Linked DNA regions of Drosophila melanogaster. The protein of the gene in region 1 interacts with the protein of each later gene in a biochemical or structural test. Each region holds a gene or a part of one and is shown on either strand. Other genes may lie near its edges.

What was found.
Region 2: of the proteins of grp (region 1) and dpa, one has a biochemical effect on the other in vitro, tested with the Drosophila melanogaster proteins (one study listed by BioGRID).

The regions. Positions count from the first base shown.
Region 1 is NT_033779.5:16,678,304-16,683,085, reverse strand, and holds the start of grp (grapes), read right to left. Parts: upstream 3,033-4,782; 5' UTR 2,810-3,032; intron 2,637-2,809; exon of another isoform or gene 2,436-2,636; intron 2,381-2,435; exon of another isoform or gene 2,368-2,380; coding exon of another isoform or gene 1,642-2,367; exon of another isoform or gene 1,433-1,641; intron 1,268-1,432; exon of another isoform or gene 1,188-1,267; coding exon of another isoform or gene 720-1,187; exon of another isoform or gene 684-719; intron 584-683; exon of another isoform or gene 468-583; coding exon of another isoform or gene 1-467. Other genes in the region: CG33552 (uncharacterized protein), read right to left, coding at 1-467; CG31807 (uncharacterized protein), read left to right, coding at 720-1,187; squ (squash), read right to left, coding at 1,642-2,367; her (hermaphrodite), read right to left, coding at 4,111-4,443, 4,505-4,768. UniProt on the Drosophila melanogaster protein: Serine/threonine-protein kinase which is required for checkpoint-mediated cell cycle arrest and activation of DNA repair in response to the presence of DNA damage or unreplicated DNA.
Region 2 is NT_033778.4:7,496,161-7,502,027, forward strand, and holds dpa (disc proliferation abnormal), read right to left. Parts: upstream 3,986-5,867; 5' UTR 3,615-3,985; coding exon 3,542-3,614; intron 3,478-3,541; coding exon 3,167-3,477; intron 3,108-3,166; coding exon 2,179-3,107; intron 2,119-2,178; coding exon 1,747-2,118; intron 1,686-1,746; coding exon 1,319-1,685; intron 1,250-1,318; coding exon 797-1,249; intron 737-796; coding exon 641-736; 3' UTR 542-640; downstream 1-541. Other genes in the region: CG1620 (uncharacterized protein), read right to left, coding at 1-101; didum (dilute class unconventional myosin), read left to right, coding at 4,319-4,348, 4,751-5,564, 5,630-5,867. UniProt on the Drosophila melanogaster protein: Acts as a component of the Mcm2-7 complex (Mcm complex) which is the putative replicative helicase essential for 'once per cell cycle' DNA replication initiation and elongation in eukaryotic cells.

The sequences.
Region 1 (4,782 bases):
AATAATTCAGCCGTGCACAAATTTTGACCTGCTATAATAATGCGAACATCCATACAGCGGATCATCTGTGATTTGCAGATGGGGCATGTCTTGTTACGCTGCAAGTAATGTAGTATGCAATTCGCTCCAAAAAGGTGACCGCATTTAATTGAAACTGGGCGATGGTCTCCGGTAACCTCATAATTCCATTTGCAAATGTAGCACTTGTTCTCTTCGGCGATCTTCTTTCGTTTCATAGACAGGTTCTCCGCTTGATTCGCAATCGCGTCCTGCGCCGCTAGCCTCAGTCGCAACTCCTTCGTTATGTTCTTCTCCTTGTCCAGTTGCAGTCGCAGATCAATTAAACGCTTTTTGGACTCGAAACTATCCTTGATGATTTCGTCCTTTTCTTTGTTCCGTTTTCGCTGCTTAATGACCTCAACGATGAGTTTTTTCTTGGTCATCTTTGTAATATCTTGTTTATCCATCTCGTTTTCGATGTGAACGATTCGCAAATATTACAGTCGAGTTTTATTTTGAAATGGATTTTTTTTTTGACAGCTGTAAATATGTTGGCTGTGTTGGAAAATGCAACACACAACTAATTCTAATGATTACAAGAAAAAATAATTTTGTTCAATCTAGGCAGTCCACGCTTAAACCTTCACTGAGAAGACATTCGTTCTAAAAGTGCTTGTCTAAAAAATTCGTTCACCTTGTAATTTTAATTTCTTTACAATATGCCCAATAACAAAGCCCAGACTCGCTCGTTGATGAGGATGCTGAAGAAGGATGTTGTTGAGCAGCTCTTAGCGGAAAGGAAAAAAAGTGAGCAAAAGGACAAGCAACTGGCGAAGCTAAATATTACAACTCAAGAGAAGGATAAAATGCGCGAGGAGGAACTCAAGCTATATTACCAAATGGAAGAAGAGATAACCAATCAGAAATTATTGCAAGAGCAGTTGTTGTTCGAGTCCAAGGACGAATTAACACAGCAGCTTGAGAAGATTGCCATCGAAAATACTTGCTGCATATGCCTGGATCCTTGGGAAGCGAAGGATCATCACCGCTTGGTTTCGCTTAGATGTGGTCACCTTTTTGGGGAGATGTGCATCCGGACCCACTTGCAGCATGCCGATATGTGCCCAATATGCCGCAAAGTAGCTATTGAAAGAGACGTCTGGCGTGTGTTATTAAACACGCCATAAAATTATTTTCTATAAATACGATGTTCTAGCTATAATATAGTGCGTTGATAAGCGCGATCGATTTAATCGATAAACATAAATTTTAATACCTCGATTATATTTCCGACTATATTCCAATTTTTTCATATTTAGGAGGGGATACAATTGAATAATTACCAAATGGTTTGGGAAACATGCATTTGCAACAATAAATTAATATAAAAAAATTCATTTAAGGATATATTGAATTCTACAGCACTAACATTCCTTTCGCATTTAATTTATTAAAATAGATAAATATTTTGTTTACCCTATGATATCAAGTATTTTTCTTTCTATTTGTAGAACTGCATCCAATATAAATTCGGTTTTCTAAACGACGTTTAAGCCGTTTATTTACATGTTACAGAAGCTTATATATAAAAAGTGATTGATTTTTTGGTTCTAATAATTGCATTCCCCGTTGGTTCCTCCTTCATTCATTGAATTGGTTTCCAAATTGGACTGGTGATTCCACTTCCTGGTCGTAACTCTCCGCAAGCTGTTTGTAAGGTACTTCGAGGTATTTCTCCGACTTTGACGCCTTGATCTCGCCCTGCTTCTTGCTGCTGTCCAAATCTGAAGCGGCAGATTCATAAAGGCTGAAGGAACTGATTGAACTATTGGCAGTATGATACGAACTACTGGAACTGGAATTCTTCGTTCGGGGAATCTTGCGTGGTTTAAAAAATTCGGGGTCTGTGATGAGGGGAAATTGTTTCCGTCCGTTTCTTATAATTTTAATGGGTCCTTCTGGTGGTTTTACTTCGGGCAGAACGGGCAGCGAATCTGTTGCCATGGACATCATTCCGAAGTGACGCATCATGGCTAACGCCTCTAGCTCATTTGTGCTTTCATCCTCCCAATCTTTCATAGTGGCGTGCTCGCCCAGCGGCCTTGTGCCTGCTATCTTCTGTATGTTCTCCATTAGCTGAAGGCTTTGCCGAATATCACGACCAGTTCCGCCTCTGCTTCCATGGATATTTTCGAGCTCGGAATTCCTCTTTTCCCGGGACTTCAGATATTCATATGTGCATTTCGGTCGCGGCCAAAACTCCCCTTGCTTCTTCATGTCGTAGGCCAGTTGACCATGGACAAAATTGAAATCCGGCTCCATGTCGACCAGATCATCCTCGAACTGCGAATTGGGAACCCATGCCATGATCGTGCGTTGTCTTAGGCGAAATTTATTTGTTAATTTTCTGACATCAGACATAACCTAAAACTCACCTAACAAAAAATACTCCGAGAACTCGCCATGAAAACAATTGAACAGCTACACTGTCAACAAGTTCTCAGAATCTGAGACTGAATGTTTACTCCGTTATTTTCAAAGAATAGTTTCAGTGCGACCATTCACCATTGAGCACGGAAATGCCGTAAGAATTATTAAGGCTGTGGTGAATTTAAGTGCACCGGTGTGCGGTGAATCTTTTGCACACCGGTGCGTGGTCAAGGTGAATAATATTGCGCCAAAAAGTTAAACAAAAGGTTAAGGAAGGGGGAGCGGGGTGCAGCAAGCAAGTCATTAAATAAACAAAGGGTAATGCCCCACGAATCAGCATATATACATTCCTAATTTATGCACCACTATTCCAACTCACCAGCAGCGTCTTTTCCGGCCAGCGCGTTTTACTGTTGTTGCTACGTCTACACAAATTTGGGATTCTCGATTTGGATTATTAAACTTTTTTAATTCACTGCTTTGCAAGACACTATAACAGCGACCGTGCTCTTATTCACACTTGGAGTAACTGAAATGCAAAAAATTCCGCAAACGCTGCTAAAATATACTTTAGTTTGCGATAGGGCTGGAGCAAAACTGGATGCACAGTGCAAGCTATCGATTTCTCCAGTAAATCGCTGATATCGATGGTTATCCGTTTCGGATCCCAAGTATCGATCGTCGAAAATCACAAGGCACATAAATTTGTGATTTCAGTATTTAGCTGATTTTATTTGTATTTAGCTTAAAATCATTACAGTATTTAGCTGTTAATATTAAATACACTTTTTTAAATATGATTATTATCCGGTACTATAAATAGTCATATTTAAAATAATATATAATTATTGACTAATTGTTTTTAATTTTCATTGAATTTATTTTTTCTTCAATAATCGATCGTAGTGTAGACATTTTCAACACACAATTTATTGAATAACACAATTCCTAAAATATACTCGTTACTCGTAGAGTAAAAGGGTATACTAGATTCGTTGAAAAGTATGTAACATGCAGAAGAAAGCGTTTCCGACTATATAAAGTGTATATATTTATATATAAGTATATATTCTTGATCAGAATCAATAGCCGAGTCGATCTAGTCATGTCCGTCTGTCCGTATGAACGACGAGATATCAGAAACTTTAAAAGCTAGAAGGTTGAGATTTAGCATACATATTCTAGAGATAAAGACGCAGCGGAACCCATGTTGCGACGCCCACAAACCGCACAAAACTGACACGCCCATATTTAAAAAAAAAATTGTTGGATATTTTTCATAATTTTATTAGTCGCTTAAATTTCTATCGATTTGCCAAAAAACTTTTTGCCACGCCCATTCCAACGCCCTAAAGCCGCCAAACCGGTCACGCCCACACGTTTGAATTTTTTTTAAATTTTTTCACATTATACAATATTTATTAATATCCCAGAGGATTAAATTTCGCGTTCGCATTCACACTAGCTGAGTAACGGTTATATGATAGTCGGGGATCTCGACTATAGTATTCTTTCTTTTTTAAACTACTCCTATACTTGTTTTTGGGCTTAAATTAAAGGTTAATTAACTAGTTTTAAAGTACTTGGGATTTTCTTAATTCGTTTACTTTACACTTTAAATAGTAAACAACTTAATGGTATTCTTATACAAATACCAAAGGGATGATACATTTTTTATCATCAAGTTTGACTTAACGTGCCCTGTTTAGAGTACATGTCCTTGATTATCTGCATGCGAGTCATTCGAGTCGCGCACAGCCAGGAGTCCTTAATTTGAAATGCCTCGAACTGCTTGCGATCTTCCTTGAAGGGTTTGTAGTAAATGTCATAGATGATGCGCAGGATGCGTTGCACATTCTCCTGCGACGGCTTCTTTGAGTGCTTTGCAAATGTTTGGTTCTTTTGCATCTTTGTGTACTTGCCATCATCCCACCAATCTGGAAAATCTGTATCTGCATCGCCAGCTTTAAGGTCCTTCTTGAGTTCCGCTTTGGGACTTATGTGATGTACAGCCTTTAGTGATAAAAACATTGTTAGGAAAAGTTCGTTTTTTTCGTTTATAGTTCTTTCTTACATCCGGCGTACTCCAACTCCAAGCCAGATCGGTCAGCGATGATTGTTTTATTTTAACTGGTTCCTCTCCGCTCAGCATTGGCACAAGAAACTCATCCTGCTGATCTTCTTCGGCAAGGGACATGGCCAACTCATCGTCTAATTCGTCCATTTGCTGCTGGACAGAAATTGAAGTGCTCTTTATGGGCAGCTCCAATTTTGTTGGAGCTCCCGGCGGTGGATCTATTGACTGGAACCATCGCAACTGGCCATCAACGTTGACAGCCTGCAAACATTGTA
Region 2 (5,867 bases), on another chromosome or scaffold:
GGCGTGACGGCCAGATCGCTGTTTGCCAGGCTGCCGGAGTCCGCCGACGCCTCGGAAGCGCTGTGCTGGGAGTGATCCGACGATTTCCCGAACTCCATCATTTTCCGTACACACAGTGTGGCAGCAGCCAGAGCGCCAAAATATCTGCACTTCGCCTGCGCAAATGCGCTAAAAAACGGCACTAACTGGGATATTCCTTTTTTAGTTGGGGTACTCCTATATATTCGAAATTTGTTTTTGTTTGGCTTTCCAAAGTAATGCTTAATTACACGAATTTTAAGATTCAGTTTTTCTGCCTTTTCAAATTTAAGTGATATGTGCTCTTCTTATGTATAAATCACTTTATCAATATTTTAGCAAGCTTGACAACATTTTCCACGTTGACATGTCCATATATTTTACATTATAAGCTGCTCGAAAAATAAAAAAATTATATTCAAATATCAATCAATTATTTTTCTACCGCAATATATAAACTTTCCAAATAATTTAATTATGTGCAATTTTTCTTTACATATTAGTTGATAAAACAGAAACGAATAATTTGAAATTTTTTTATTGAAAACATTTTTGTAGTTGCGCTTAAAAATAGGAATGAATGAATTTGCGGTTGGTTTTGAATGAGATAAATGTAATAAAATTAACAAATACGAATGGTGTTCTTTCCCATGACAACAATTGCGCCCTCATCTTGCACCTCCTTCAGGGCATCTTCAAATTGCTCGCGTGTGATCATCTGCAATAAATTATCGTTTACATTGATTTTATATTATAAATATATTATATTAGCACTTACAATTTGGGATCCTTCCTTAATATCGCTAAACAGTTTCTGATAGGGAACTGTGAGAACTTTGCCCTTCTTCTTGAGGTTTTCCTTGATGGCTGCCACCAGATCGGCGCGCTTTTTGCGAGCGGCTGTTGATAAGCCGGTGGTGAGAATGCCCACGTCAATTTTGCCGGACAGGGGATCCGTGGCCGACTGCTTGAGAGCCTCGCGATGAAGCCGCCAAGCCTCCTCCACGTCCAGCAATTCCACCTGGTTGCTGAGACGCACCTTGGCGTGCGCCTCCGACAGTCGGATGAGACTCTCCAGCTGGCGCGGGTAAGCAGAGATCTGGCCACGACCGGCGCCCACCTTTCGCATGTCCACGTAGGCCTGAATGAGTCGTTGTTGCGCTTCATCCGACAACGTAGGCGACAGATGTTCGCGGGCATAGGCGATGTAGTCGCGCAGGACGCTCATGTCCTGAAAATTGATTGAATATGTTACAGAGATATTCCGGAGAAATACCAACAATTGATCCAAGCTACTTACAAACATGGTATCCTCCTCCTCATGACGCGTCACATAGTACAAAGATACCAAATGGCTGGCCAGTCGCTTGTCAAAGATCTCATCCTGGGGATCCAGGACCAGAAAGATTAGGTCGAAGCGGGACAACAGGGTGTGCGGAAGCTGGACGTTATCAATGATGTTCTTGCGCTTATTCCACTGAGACTCGGCGGGATTGGCGGCAGCAAGAATCGAGGTCCTCGCGTTTAGCTGACAGATGATTCCCGCCTTGGCAATACTCAGTGTCTGCTGCTCCATCACCTCGTGCAGCACACTGCGTGTCGAGTCGTTCATCTTGTCAAACTCGTCAATGCAGCAAACTCCATTATCGGCCAAAACCAGTGCACCTCTGAAAACAAGCCATAAGATTACAACCTAAATTCGAATCTGATTCAAGCTTTTAGATTTACGTTTGCAGAACCAGCTGGCGAGTCTCCGGATCTTTGGTCACATAGGCAGTCAAACCGACGGCCGAAGAACCGCGACCGGAGGTGTACTGTGATCTTGGCACGAGGTTGAAGACGTACTGCAGCATCTGGGACTTGGAAGTACCCGGATCACCGCATAACAGCAGGTGAATTTCCGATCTGAAATTCTGGCGGCCGAGAGTTGCATGCTTCTTCTTGGTGCCACCAAAGAGCTGCAGCAAGATGCCTTTCTTGATGTCGTCGTTCTCGTAAATAGATGGGGCAATGGCCCTGGCCAAGCGGTCGTAGATGTCCGGTTTCTTGGCCAGCAATTGTAGCAGCTCAACGCGTTCTGGCGGGAAGATGTGATCCTTACTGGTAGGTAATTAAAATTATCAAATTTTATTCTAACCAGTAATAAAATGCAAGACTTACCCCTCCTCATCCTCGTACAGTCGCTTGTTGTCCACCTTCCGGAAGTGAACCACATCCACGTGCGTCTTATACACACTTTTTACCGACGAACTGAGGCCTCCAGTCTTCAGTGGCGTCGCCCGATAGATGCCTGTGACCGTGACGCGATCACCAGGCTGCACCTTGTCCACCAGATCGTTGTGAGCATACAAAAGCACATTATGCGGAGTCTGTCCCGCCGCCATGTCATCTGGAGACTCCTGAAGTTTGACAAGCTGCTTATCCGTAAACTCCGATCGATTGTGGATTAAACGGAAGCAGTGGTTCGTGTTGCAGTTGGTGCAGAGCGTGGGCTGGTTAATGCGACCGCGGTCCACCTCGACGGTTGTGCTGAAGGAACAGATGTTGCAACTGAAAAAGGCTTCGCGCATCTCGGGAATGACGTTCGACGAGCGAATGACCATGCCACTAATGCTGATCAACTGGTCCATATCCTCGGGATTTAGGGATCGCATGTTGCGTGTCTTGTCCGCGTTGAAGGGGCGCACTTGAATCTGGTGTTCCAGAAGAGCGGCAGGATAACGCTCAAAGAACATCTCGTTTATGGCCATATCAAAGCCAGGAATAACCTCCTGCGGATAGCAGATCAACTGGCGGTACAAGTCCTGATCAAAGGTCTTGAGATGGGCACAGTTGAGATTCAGATAGGGCTCCTCCAATGTGTGAATCTCCTCCAGCTTCTGAAGATACAGTGGCTGGTTAACATCAATATTCTCGGAGATTTCGTCCTGCTCGGCACTGGGGTCAATAAAGCGCATAATAAACGACTTGAACTTGGATTTGCACTGGCTGACAACAACATTGGTTCCCCAGACGACGAGCTGAGGTGCTTGCGAAGATTCCGATACAGGATCGGTGGTTTCAGAGCCCTTCTCAGGAATTGGTTCGAGCTGTAAAAGCGACTAAACTAATTTGAAAGTCCCAAAATGAGTTGCCAGCGTACACTTACCCCAGAGCCCCCACCGATGGCCACCTGGCGGATGCGCTTGTCCGTTCTTATATCGGGCCGCGCCCGCAGCGGAGTGCCTCTAATTCCGGAACGAGGGGTTCGAATGGACCCCATCGAGCTGGGGGTGCCGTAGTTCAGCGGCGAACTCAGATCGATCTCGCTCATGTTCGCACCCAATCCTCGAGCCGGACTGGTGGCTGGCAAGCTGATGTTTCCCGGCGAGGTGGGCGGCAAACTGATGTTGTCCGAGGGCCGGACAGCCCTCCCGGGACCCATGCGCATGGGTGTCTCCACATCTTGCGACGCAATGCCTGTAAGCAGACAGACGCTTGCTTTGCAAACAGAACACACTTTTTGTGGCACGTCGATACTCACCTCTAGTGGGTGTGCGGGCGCCTTGTTTGGGCGTCGCACCTCCAACACTGGGCGAACGAGCGGGGCTTGACATTTCCTTAGAGAAGATATTTATTTAACCCGTGCGTCCTGGGCGAAAACTGTAGCTGTTGTGAAACAAAAAACGATGCGGTGGGACAGACCAGCTAAAAATTGGCGGGAAAATAACTGTTGCAGTGTTGAAGAATACCAATGGGTGAGTTGAGCAGTGCTGAAAATCTAACTGCAGAGCATTGCGCGCCAAATAATTGGTGCTTTCTGGGGTGTTTTGCAAGAAAAAATTCAGTTACTGTGGCATTATACAAATCTTTTTGCAAGATATTTTACTTTGTTCAAATTTAATCCATGGTTAGAACCACACATTTCTAATTTGGCCCAAACTGCACGCCCTTTGGCAACCCTGCCCTTTTGCCAACAACAAAACATAAGTCAGTCAGTCAGGCGGTGACAGGGACGGAAGTTTGTTTGTTTTTCTCACACTTTGGCGTTGCGATCTAAAAATTATCAATGTTTTTATAAATTATTCCTGGCTAATTTTAAGTAATTTAGGACAGTACATTTACATAAACCCAAAAAAAGACCACGAAAATGGTAATTTAAATAGGCTGTCAGAGCCAGAAAAAAAACGTACCACCAAGGAAATTAAACCTAACGGGATTTATGCACCCAACTCACTCCCACGCGGAGTAGGAAGAAGGAGAGGAGAGAAAGAAGGAGCGCGAAGCGGAACCTGGAGTAGGAGGAGGAGCCAGTGGAACCATGTCTAGCGAGGAGATGCTATACGCGCAGGTATTGCACAGTATATATTGATGCCCTACAAGTGCATCGTGGCAGATTGCGGCGGTGTCGGTGTCGTCTGCAAATGGTGCCAATATAAAATCGCACCCATAACGTGATTTCCCCCGTCCGAAGTGTGTGTGTGTGTGTGTGTGTGTGTGCAGGCCATTCGACAGTTCTTGGCCCTGATTTGTTCCCATGGCAGGTGATTAGCCATTGATGACTGCATCGCAGCACCCGAAATGTTTAAAAATGATTCATCTACATACAATATTCGCGGGTGTCTTATCGACAGGGGAATGGGTTGTGTGATAAGCTCGATTGATAAGACACCAGGTCGGGTGACGTCTCTAGAGGGGATCGGGCATAACTCCCATTCATAAAACTTGTTAATTCGGCTCACTTCTTTCGCAGGGCGCCAAGATCTGGGTGCCCCATGCGGATCTGGTGTGGGAGAGCGCCACCTTGGAGGAGAGCTACCGCAAGGGCGCCGGCTTCTTGAAGATATGTACGGACTCCGGAAAACTGAAAGAGGTCAAGCTAAAGGCCGATGGCAGCGATCTGCCTCCACTGCGCAATCCGGCCATTCTGGTGGGACAGAACGACTTGACCACCCTGTCCTACCTGCATGAGCCGGGGGTGTTGCACAATCTGCGTGTCCGCTTCTGCGAGCGCCAGATTATCTACACCTACTGCGGCATCATTCTGGTGGCCATCAACCCGTACGCGGAGATGCCTCTTTACGGGCCCAGCATAATCCGAGCGTATCGGGGTCATGCTATGGGTGATCTGGAGCCGCACATCTTTGCCCTGGCGGAGGAGGCGTACACGAAACTGGAGCGCGAGAACTGCAACCTGAGCATCATCGTCAGTGGGGAGTCGGGTGCGGGCAAGACGGTGTCCGCCAAATACGCCATGAGGTACTTTGCCGCTGTTGGAGGTTCCGAGTCGGAGACCCAGGTCGAACGCAAGGTGCTGGCATCTTCGCCGATCATGGAAGCCTTCGGAAATGCCAAGACGACCCGGAATGACAACAGTTCCCGCTTTGGAAAGTTTACCAAGCTGCTGTTCCGGAACCAGATGGGTGTGATGTTCCTGCAGGGAGCCACTATGCACACCTACCTACTGGAGAAGTCACGTGTGGTGTACCAGGCCCAGGGAGAGCGCAACTATCACATATTCTATCAGCTGTGCGCGGCGCGATCGAAGTACCCTGAACTGGTGCTGGGTATGTCTGGAAGCTCCCTCCTATTTCAGCTTAGAAAATGAAGTAATATTTCCATTCTCTCAAAGATCACCAGGACAAATTCCAGTTTCTGAACATGGGTGGCGCTCCTGAAATTGAACGAGTTTCGGATGCGGAGCAGTTTAACGAAACCGTGCAGGCCATGACAGTTCTGGGCTTCTCCATTCAACAGATCGCTGATATCGTAAAGATCCTGGCAGGAATACTCCATTTAGGAAACATTCAGGTTTCCAAGAAGTTCAACGAGGGCAGCGAAGAGGAGGACAGTGACTCTTGCGATATATT